Yarrowia lipolytica: one gene and its partner. The protein of the gene in region 2 purifies or fractionates together with the protein of the main gene of each other region. This does not show direct contact. Links are inferred from orthologs where the notes say so. Each region holds a gene or a part of one and is shown on either strand. Other genes may lie near its edges.

Region 1 (6,547 bases), on a different chromosome or scaffold from region 2:
GCCCACATGCTCCTTGTAAAAGGCATTGATGACGATCTCCTGTTTGCCACCATGCCTGAGCTCAGTAAGTACCCTCCTCGTCTCATTCTTCGAGTCACCACCGAGTACAGATACAAGATGTACTTGGATAAGGAACGCCAGCAGATTGCTTCTGTCGAGAGAGATGAAAGCCTGAAGCTTCCTGAGAACCTCGATTACATGTCCATGGCGGGTCTCAAAATCGAGTATCGAACCGTTCTCGATAAAGTTCGTCCAGCCACTCTCGGACAAGCTAAGCGAATCGAGGGCATCTCTAACAGTGTGTGTTTTTACTTGTTGAAGTATGTTCACAAGAACAAGCATCTGGGTGGTAAAAACGACGCGTAAAATTAGGTCTGAACCAGGCCGTATGTATATAGAGCAAGATATTTATGTGTATACCAGTATGAACCCGTGTACTTGGATTGGGTAAGTTCAAGATGAGTCAGATACTGTAGTACATAGTGCATACTGTAGGTGTAGAGGTGGTCGAAGAGTATCGTACACTTATGGTATACGCTGCAGTTGTACAATATATTGAAACCGGAACTATGCAGTTGACCTAAGGTACAATTAAAATGCATTAAATAGCCAAAACTAACTAGAAATCACTCTTGAGAAAGCCCGAACACGATCTCAACATCACAGTGCCGTCATTCACATTGTTAGATGCCATCACCAGCCGATGAGGATGAAACGACAAAGCGTTAACCGAGGTTACCCGGTTGGGAAGGGTCATATAACCAGGGTGGTTCTTGTTTACCGAGGTCATGTGACCATCAAAGTCCCACGTTCGCACCAACTGAGAGCCCGTAACCAACACAGGTGCATGTTCATGCACGTCCATGGCCTTCATGCCGTTGGTGTGTGCAATCCAAGACCGCAGAGGAGTGTCTGTTCGGATATCCCATGTACTGATGACTCCGTCTGCCGAACCAGATACCAGCTCTCGGTGTCCTCCTCGTTGCATGCACACGTTGAGCACCTTGTCAGAGTGTCTGATACCTCGAGATAGCTTCCAGATTTTGACCATGGCGTCTCGAGAATCGACTCGTCGATCAAACAGACGCAGAGCCCCGTCCGCGAAACCAGCCACAAACATGTGACCAGCAACCTGGTCGGAGGTGAGGGCAGTCACAGGGGCAGAAGACCGAGCAGGAATGGAAGCCATGCACATCTCTCGGGGAGCATCCCACACCTTAACCACTCGTGTGGGACCTCCAACCAACAGTGTTCCTCGAGACTGCTGCCAATCTACAGCTACGGGAGAAGAGGCCTGCAGACCGACTCCCGAAAGAGCTCTCCAAGCAGACACTAACTGCACATCCTGACGCGACTCGTAGTGCCTGTAGATTCGCACACATCCCTCGGAGGAGGCTGTGAGGAGCATGGGAACGTCGTCTTCGTTGAGATACTTGACGTCGGTGATTCTGGTTCCTGCAGGATTGGCGTTGCAGAACCGCGACAGACGCTTGTTTTCGGCCCAGTTCCAGATAGAAACACCGTCTCGGTCGTCAGCTACTGCCAGATGTGGCTCAAACTGCGCAAAAACGAGTTTCTGAGGCTGCGTCTTGTTGCTGAGAACACCTAGAGAGTGATCCCACTTGCCCTTGACAGCTTCGTCTCGCTGAAGCACCGACTCGGAGATAATTCTCTCGTTGCGGGTCTTTCGCCACAGTCTCTCAGTGTACCGCTGTGAACCAGTACAGTCGGCCTCCGCAGGCACCATTTGAGGCTCTTGGAAGAACTCCGTGGACCAAGCAAAAAACCCGGACTTCAGAGGGAGTTGAGCACGTGATCCTGCAGCTCGCGATGTGTAACGAGGTGTCACGGGGATGGTTCCCGTGCCAAAAGGAACAGTTGTAACAGATGAGTCCGTTTTCTGGGCTGCTGTTCCACTGGGCTCATTGTCTCCAAATAGATACTTCGAGACAGACCTCTTGAGCGAGTTGAGAGGAGAAGAAGCTGCCCTGTCGGCAGCAATGGCATTTTGAATGGTGGAAGATGCAGTAGGCGTTAGAGGAGCCATCGCAGGAGATTGGGGAGCAGGACTACCAGCAGCATGATGATGTGACTCTGACGAAGGAATCAGGTTGGAAACGCTAGGCAGCTGTTTCTTGGACTCGGCTCCCTGCAGCATGGTTCGCTTGAGCTGCTCCATTCGAGGTCCCAGAGGCGACTGGCCCATCTCAAACAAGACGTGATCAACCACGTCACGTGCAAAGTCACGCACCTCGGTGAACGGGTCCTCTGCAAATGTCAGAACGGCCTCCCACACGGCAGCAAACACGGTACCGGTGGCAGGATTGGACGAGGTGTTGAGGTTCATCTGGGAGACAGCAGCAGCTTCTTGCTCGAGAGTAGCAAACGCAGCAACCAGAATCTGACCTTGGTACTGGACGACGAAACGCGAAAAGAATACGACTGCTTCTCTTCGAACAATACCACTGGCGTCGTCAGTCAGCTTGAGGACAGCGTTAGCAAGCTCGCATTCCACGTCCTTGAAATCCTGGGAAATGTGATCAGCGTCTCCATTGCCAAGGAATGCAGTCAAGGCAACAGTACACGCTGTTCGGACCTCAGGAACAGGATCCTCAAGCAGCACAATGAGGCTCTGGGGCACTCTCTCCTTCATTCCAAGCCACTTGCCCTCTAGGTAGTCGAACCACAGTTGGGAGATGCATAAACAGGACCACTGTCGAAGCAGTGGAGAGTCAGGCTCAGCTGCGTAAACCACGAGCACCCGGAGAAGATCAGCACCCATTGAGACCCGCTGACCCTGCTTGAAACCATGGCAGAATAGTGCGATGATGAAAGAACACATGGCTCTGTGGTCATGGACGTTCACGTTGTTAACGGCAAATCCTTCAAAGGGGAGAAGAATTTGGATGAAGTAGGCGTAGCCATTGTCCTTGAGCAGCTCGTGCTGAATGGATTGATGGTCCACGCTCATTATTCGAGCCCAGATGAAAACAAGCACGGGTTTTAGCTCCTTAGCGGGGGACTGCAACAGCTTTAACACGTAGGGGAAGATACCGATAGAGAGCGCCGAGTAGACAGCCCAGGGTCCAAGATCGAGGAACTTGGAGAGCAAGATCAGCGCTCGTAGTCGGTGGACCTGTGACAACAGCACTTGTAAAACAACAGGAAGCTGAACAGGTGGGTTATCACTTCGAGCATTGTATCGCAGCCACACCTCAAAGGCTGTCAGTTGTTCCTCAAAGAACTGCGAGTGGCGATACTCCTGTCCAGCAGCCAAAGCAGGCAACTGAGTCAGACACTGATCGACTGCTAGATCCCACGCATCCCACATAGGGTGAGAATGGGTGGGAGGAAGAGGAGGGTCCGAGACTGGGTGGCATGAGTTGACCCGCATAATTCTGTCTGCCAGCAGAAAGTTTCGGAACAACGCTGCGACCATCAGGTCCTGTCGAAACAGCTTTTTGAACAGGTCGCGAGGCAACAAAGTCCAGGCTATCGTATCGGTTATGGCAGTGAAAATCCAATTAAGTTCGCCAAGGGGGGTTCTTCGGTCGGTAATTCTTCCTGGGATTTGCAGATCCTTGATCTTCTTCCCGTAAGCCAAGGGAGACTTCATGACGAACCATCGCACAGCAATTTCAATTGGGGACGTCAGGCATGACGTGAACAGATCTGCCGGAAGGTCTGGGTGCATGGGCAGAGTCTCGTCGGCCCGGCAGGCTGCAAGCTGGATGCAATCGAGGTAGGCATTTCCGTTTCCTGAAGCTGCACTGGTCACACCATTGGGTGCTTGTGCATCAGCGTCCTCCTTGATACGCTGCTGAACAAAGCGCTTGAAGTTAGAGACAATGTTGCCGGCACTATGGCAATCCCACACGTAGATGCATGGCGAGCCCAGCCACGACTGCAGGTCGTACAAAGACACAGGAATGTATTGTGTGTAGCCTCTGTTGAAGACCCAGATTTCGCCCGAAGCTGTAGGTCGAGGCACTCCGTGGCCATTGTAATGAAACAGAATTCGCTCCTCCTTAGCACCTCGTCGCAGTCCTATGCAGAATCGTTTAATGTCCTCCACATTGGGGTCCAGCGACTGCTTATACCGGGTTCGCATTGACAGCACCTCGTACTGCATCTGTAGCTGTTTTCCAATCTGCTCCGTGGCCTTCTTGGAGTCTGAGATGGTCTGTGGGTCCACCCAGGCCTCCAGTCGCGAGCAGGGGTCGGTTTTGATCACATCTGGAGGATCCACTCCCAGGTTGAGACACACCACAATGGCTGCAGACACTGTTCTCTGTCGGTCTTTCATGCGCCATTCGGGCGGGCCGTCGGCAGAAGACCGTTTCGGATTGCCCGCAGTGTCGTGGCGTTTGTCGTCCAGGTAGATGTAAAAGATTTCGGCCAACATGGACATGTAGGCGTCACTGGCGTAGTCGTCGTCAAATCCATGGCGCACATAGGTTTTGGAAGCGGTGGACTTGACCGTCTCATCCTCTTCCATCCGGCGTTGTGGCGAATGCACCGATTGCACCGATGTCACACTTCCGTTCATGTCAGAGATGTGAGGTGCAAGTATGGGGTGACTGGTGTGATGTGCGGTGATGTAGTGGTGGAGGTGTGACTTTGAGTTTGAGAGGTGGTTTAGAGGAGACTTGAGGACTGGTGAGTTGAGACTGTTGTAGGTGATTTAGACAACAGTAAAGATCGTTTTTTGTGGTAGTGGGACATGGTGTATATTTTTAACCGCCTTTCCCGTCTAAAAATGTATGTGTACGCCTACTTGGGTACTCCCATCTATCGCTGTCACGAGACACTATATGAGTGCGCTGCATACCATTAGGAGTGAACACTTTAGATTGCGATATGGGGTAATGTTCTACTATTGGTGGAGTGAGTGAGATGTCGACAAACTGAGGCGTGAATAAAATGAACAAAAAAAACCGATTTGTGGATGGTTAGACTCACATGACCACCTTCGTCGTGGGACTGTCCTTTGCCTCGATACATGATGTCACTAGATGTACTGTGTATTGTACAAATACCGGTGCATTGGCCGCTTCTACACCGTCGATATCTCCAGTGCCGTATGGGACATGCATGATACGAGTGGGTCGATAGCGGACAACATTTAAGTAATATTTACTGAAGATATGTAAATCAGGGGAAGTCAGAACAGCCCAAATCGGGCTTGCTGAGCTGACCCTGGAGTATGATGTCATTTCGCTTTCTTGATCATTACCCAGACATCCTATCGTACCATGGCGGCTTCAGTCGCGGTCGAAGTGTATTCGGAGGTTCAACTTGAGGAGTACATACTTACGATAGTCGTACTTGACGAGAAATTGTAGCGCGTGCACGGTTTCATACTGTACATACCGTACGTCGTATAGTATGTACTGTACTGTACCTACAGGTGACTATCTCCACAGGCCGAAAATAGTCCAATGACTAATGACGTCCTTGGGTCAACATTGGTGATATCTTGATGTCGAAAAAATTATGATTCAGGTGACCATGGCCTTGGATCTTCGGATCTCATACATACTGTCACAAGGTCTTCATTCAACCAACTTCTATCCAGAACTGTCTGAGTACTCGTTATATCTCATCGCCATCTTCATATATATCTCTTGTCCTCCATTATCCCTCCATGTATAGTGCCCTTGTGTTACTCTAAGCCATGTCCAACCGACTCCTAACAAGACTTGATTCTTGGTTAATCATCCAACACCACCCAAAACCAAGCCTATGCCGACACCTGTGAATATCGTACGTACAGTACATGGCCGCACTTGACACCCCGAATCATTCCGAGTCATCCGCATGCAGAACTGTTCTCCAGTCCGCACTAAACTGCCCTTTACATCCTCGCTCCCAACGAGCTGGAGTAACTTTCCCTTTGGGTCCATGGAGTAACTTTTCCCGCTGACAGATATCGTACATGCACATACTATAGTTAAAGCGAACTGTTGGGAGAGACGCACGGTTCGGAGATACGCCATGGACAGATGGGTGCACCACACTGCCAGTATAGAGAGCCACATTATCGTCGTAGCTATAACGGAAGCGGTTTTTCGACATGCGCGCCCCACTTATATAACATTGTGCGACCCACACCACCGCGACTTGCTCCCAAACCAGTCCCCGTCCCACGTGACTGCACATCGCCATCACCACTGCACGGGACAGATAGAGTTAGAAGTTTCAGCACCAACATTTGGCAAGAGTCCGCGGTGGATCATTCTACTTGAACTAGACCTGTTACAGCAGAGGAGTCACAAGTGCGGTAGAGTCACAAGCGACACGAACGACACAAGACGATAGACACGGAAGGTGACGGTTGTAAACAGCACCCCAAGGACATTACATCGTTACACTCAACCAAGACATTATAACCGCAACACAACACTTCTCACTCTCACCACCCCAAAATGCCACCTCTGGTACACAAAATCCACCAGCATCGTCCAGACGAGGCTTTTGTTCCTCCAACCAGCCCGTTGACACCTCCCGTGCCCTCGGTGACGGTAGGCCAAAAAATCCTCTCTGC
Region 2 (4,681 bases):
GTGAAGAAACAGGTCAACGGTAAGAGGATCATGCATGCTGTGAAGAAGACAAGCTTGTTGAGAACGGATCTGTGTTAGTTGTTGCGACAGCCAAGTAGTCAATGCCACCCAATGCAGTGGTAGCAGATACTCACCTTGGGATGTCGGCCATTTTGTGATGTGTCTGTTGTTTTGCGTGATGTGTGTGTTCTGATGTTCGACGTCCAACTTACTGTATTGTAGCGTGGTGATGTGCGGGAGCCTGCCCTTAGTGAACCTTGATGCCAAAGCTAAATGAAAATGAGACGTGCGTGTCTAACATTGACACCCACACTGAACGCGATAATGAAGCCGAAATTGACGAAGAAGCGAAAAACGGTGCGAAGGAGCGCACTGAACAGACCTCTGGAGACCGATCAACGGCTCCAGGTTGCAACTATTCTCGAAGAAGCAACTTTCCCCATACTGGCAAGAGCTCACAGCGAACCTAAGAAGGTGCGGATATCAGAGGACCTGGGACACTTGCAACGACGTCTTTCGAGACGTCTCGACCGGTTCCCCGTGCCGAAGTCGCTCGGCAATAATTTCGACGCTTCACATCAATACACTCAGATGGAAAAGCTTGAAAACAGCGGAGCCAAGCTGGCACAGCAGATTGAAGCACTGCAGGAAGTGACGCGTCGCCGGACAAACGAGCTGGCCAGAACTATTGAACAGCACCAGAAACTGGCTCAAAAGAGTCTACAATTGGACAACCAGATTGAGGAACGAAGGGGGAACCTCCATGCACTTTTACAAGGCAGTGCGGAGAATGTGGCTGAGGAAAACGCAGCTATCAGCTATCGATACTGTGAGAGAGATATCGATAAGGAAGTGCTGGAGCCATTGGATCAAGATCTTACCAAAATTGTTGATATTTTAGACCATTCGAGAGTCCTAGAAGTGTCTGCGAAGGTGGATGAATTCTTGTGAAGGACTGCGAGTTCCAGTGAACACATCCTTGCCCACCAACGTACTGTAGCTACAGTACAAGTACTCACACAGTACATCCGGTATTTGTAGAGAAATTATTTATTGAATTATTTATTAGAAATGTTATCAAACTAATTGCTATACAATACTACTTCATGCTGCAATGTAGACGAACATACCCGATGAGTGACATCAGACCTACCGATCTGTATGGACTGTACAAATAGTCATGGGCACGTGACTGGTAGTGTGCCAGCCCCAATAATGTAGCCTTCATCTGGTCCATTGGTCTTAGAAACTCGTTCTTTTGAGGTCAATTGGAACCACCTGCCACGCAGAATGTATGCGAGATATATAATGGAATGATATGAACTCTTATGTTGCGTTGGCTGTGTGAAACTCCCGCGTTCCTTATCCCTTGAGAGTGTATACAGTAGACATGATGATAGCTACTGTATTGACAACGGTTGATTAAATTAAGGATCTGTGGGATAGGTAAGGTCAGGGTTCTGGGGTCTTTGTGCTTGCCAAACTAAGAGCGGATTAAGCCTGTATATTCCGTGCAAAAAGGTGTGTGCCCATATTTCTTGCCTAACGCAGGAAAAACTCGTGGACTTGTATCAGAATTGAGACCACATTAGCGGTACTCGTACAGCTACAGTACTGTACGTACAAGTACAGTATGTGCAATACGTATGTAGTCTGTGTCTGTATTTCACACTCCAAAAAGCGACTACTTGTAGATTCGGGCTAGGTTCACGGGAATCGAATAATATGACCTCAGGTGGGTGTTCCCGCTGTGTAGTTGTAATTGAGGGGCCCCCGTTACGGCCCATATATATATTTCGCATAAAATTGAACCTCGTTTCATGTGTGCACTGTTGTGTGTTGCCCCACTGCATGCGTCACATCAACATCACGTACGTAGTACAGTAAATAGTCCCAGCGAGGGGGGCGCATTTGAGTTTCCAATCTTCCACATCACCACTCTAAGGAAGCATCGGCGTGTGCAGCCATACGAGATGGCAGAGATCAAGAAGAACCAAAGCGGAAGCCGCCAGCGCAAGTCCGTGGGAGGGGACCGCTCTGACCGCTCCGATCGCTTGGACCGGTCCGACCGAGACCGGGGCGATAAGAAGACGGCCAACAAGTGGAAGCGACCTGAGCCCAGCCCCACTCACGCTCGCCACATGCACGACCGACTGCTGTTTTTGCTAGCCAAGTCCGTGGGTGAACACGTTACCGTTACCACCGCCTCCGGCGACTCTATCCACGGCTTGCTGGAGGGAGCCTGCACTGAGGGCGACTTGGGAGTCAGCATGCGGTTTGCTGACTCGGGGGCCAAGCAGCTGGTTTTCCAGCCCGAAGACATTGTCGACGTGGCTGTGGCTCTATCCGCGCCCTTACAGGTCGACCAGCGCAAGTTCCGAACCGACACAGACATCAGTGGCCGGCGGGCAGTGGCTGAGCGAGAATTGGAGCGATGGACTCCGGATGCCGACTCCGCCACCTCTGCTCTGACACTCGAGGAATCGGGCACGGGCTCCTGGGACCAGTTTGCAGTCAACGCCGACCGATTTGGAGTGCCCTCCACCTACGATGAACACCTCTACACCACCCGTATCAACACGGAAGGTCCCGACTACCAGGCCAAGATGCGACGGGCCCAGCGATTGGCAGACGAGATTGAGGGCCAGACTGGAGGAAACGCGCATCAGCGAGAGGAGCGAGGAGACACGGTGGATGACTCGGGCATGGACGAGGAAGACAAGTACTCGGGAGTGGACCGAACTAAGACCTATGTTCCTCCTTCTCAGCGAGCCGAGCTGCCCCATGACCCGGCCATCATTTCTGCCGGAGGACTCAGGAAGCCAAACCCCACATCTTCCCAGCCGGACATCATGTCGAGACTGGAGCAGAAACTGGTGGACTCGGCTGCAGTGCCCAAGCGCAACCGAATCCCCGGACTGCCTCTCAACGACCCCTCTGCAACAGCCGCTCCCTCGGCCTCCAAGAAACCCGGATTCGAGAAGGAGCTGGCGTCCCGATACCAAAAGTTCATTGACTTAGAGCGAAACCGAATGGTGTCGCAGAAGGAGGCTGCCAAAACTCACCATGATACCGCCCGGCTCAACGACCTGCGCAAGTTCTCACAGGATTACAAGATCAATACCCCTGTTCCCGAGGACTTGCGTCCCATCCTGGCCAAGGACAAGTCTCGAGACGTTTCCGAGACCACTTCCCCCGAGGCGGCCAATGCACATCTGGACCGAGTGGCTTCGCCCATGTTCGACTCACTGTCCTCCAAGCTCTCGTCCATCCAGATGAGCCGGGAGGCCGACAAGAGCTCCGAAAAGTCGTCTTCACCAGCTGCCGCTGACAAGAATGGTGGAACAGCTGCTGACAACAAGCCTGAACCCGTGGCTAAGTCGTCGCCATCAAAACCCAAGTTCAAGATGAACTTCAAGGCGCCCGAATTCAAGCCCTTCACTCCCAAGGACACCAACGCCCAGCTGGCGACAGCAGCCGCTCCCGAGCCCAGCTCTCCAGCTTTCTTTTCTTCTACGCCAAAGACGGACCGGGCGCCTCTCAGCACCTTGTTCAACCCCTTCAAGAAACCCAAGGCCGAAAACACCCCCTTCCCTCGAGCATTTGAGACCCACCCGACCTGGCACACCGTGGAAGCGGCAGCAGACTCCTCTGTTCTTTTCCCTCCCTTAGAGCAACTGACCATGCAGCGCCCCTTCCTTCACAACGCCATGTCTCCCCAGCGGGGCGGAGCCGTGATGATGCCGTTCTACCAGATGCCTCAGGGAGTACCGCCCATGATGTATCAGTATGGCCCCCAATTTGTGCAGCAACCTTTTGGACCTCCTGGTTACCGAGTTCCCATGCCTCCTGGACAGCCCCCTCAGGGCTACATGCGATACCAGGGTTAGTATGTAGTGAAATAAAGAAAAATGAGTCGATATATGATTACACAAAACTAGTGGTATTTGAATGCTGAACAGAATAGCAGGCTCTGTATGCCCAGAATTTCTTCCAGAAATGCTTCCACTGTGTTTATATGCTCCCCTTGTTCGCCTTCAGTGTGTACAAGTAGGCTTGAGAAGCGTGCATGCTAGATGCGTCCACCAACCTACTGTACTTACATTTCTTCATATGAAGTGAAAGCTACACATACACACCACTATGAATTGGGAAAAGGGTCCCGTCTGTGGCATCGACAATTGTCCCTCGGACTTGTGGCGGTCGGCTGCTGGTCGTACCTTCTGCAGATACGGTCATCAGCGCCAAGACGAGTATGAATACGACAATCAAGACGAAGGAGACCTGGGTGGAGGACGAAAGGTGACTATAGGTTCGGTGAGTGCCATGAAAGATGGAGAGAAGGAGGAGCAACGATGGTTTGGTTCACGGGTCTATGCGCTTCGTGCACAAATCTTCCAGGAGGTGCTTCGCTTTTACACACACTGGGCCATGCAGAAATTCGATTTGGATACCGACTTCGAGGAGGTGGTGAAGGAACTGTGGAGTGTCTTGATCAAGTATACCGACTTCGGACGATCGTCTTACGACCTGGAGGGTGGAGTGCATTCCGAGCCATGCGATACAGGTACAAGCACTCCACTGCTACTCTCTCAGAAAATGGCCATTGAAATCATGTATTTGGCTCTCGTTCAAGTCGGCTATCCTATTTCATTCATTAAGATACTGGGATGGATCATGT

What was found.
Region 1: the proteins of YALI1_B30146g (region 2) and YALI1_E08271g purify together in Saccharomyces cerevisiae (affinity purification with western blotting, with the first as the bait; 3 studies listed by BioGRID). This does not show direct contact. The link is inferred for Yarrowia lipolytica from reciprocal best matches to the Saccharomyces cerevisiae genes PBP1 and KOG1.

Annotation. Positions count from the first base shown.
Region 1 is NC_090774.1:825,167-831,713, reverse strand, and holds YALI1_E08271g (uncharacterized protein), read right to left. Parts: upstream 4,550-6,547; coding exon 620-4,549; downstream 1-619. Other genes in the region: YALI1_E08334g (uncharacterized protein), read left to right, coding at 1-366; YALI1_E08253g (uncharacterized protein), read left to right, coding at 6,429-6,547. UniProt on the Saccharomyces cerevisiae protein: Component of TORC1, which regulates multiple cellular processes to control cell growth in response to environmental signals. Nutrient limitation and environmental stress signals cause inactivation of TORC1.
Region 2 is NC_090771.1:3,011,809-3,016,489, reverse strand, and holds YALI1_B30146g (uncharacterized protein), read left to right. Parts: upstream 1-1,820; coding exon 1,821-3,890; downstream 3,891-4,681. Other genes in the region: YALI1_B30163g (uncharacterized protein), read right to left, coding at 1-69, 135-151; YALI1_B30162g (uncharacterized protein), read left to right, coding at 274-951; YALI1_B30123g (uncharacterized protein), read left to right, coding at 4,144-4,681. UniProt on the Saccharomyces cerevisiae protein: Involved in pre-mRNA polyadenylation. May act to repress the ability of PAB1 to negatively regulate polyadenylation. Negative regulator of poly(A) nuclease (PAN) activity.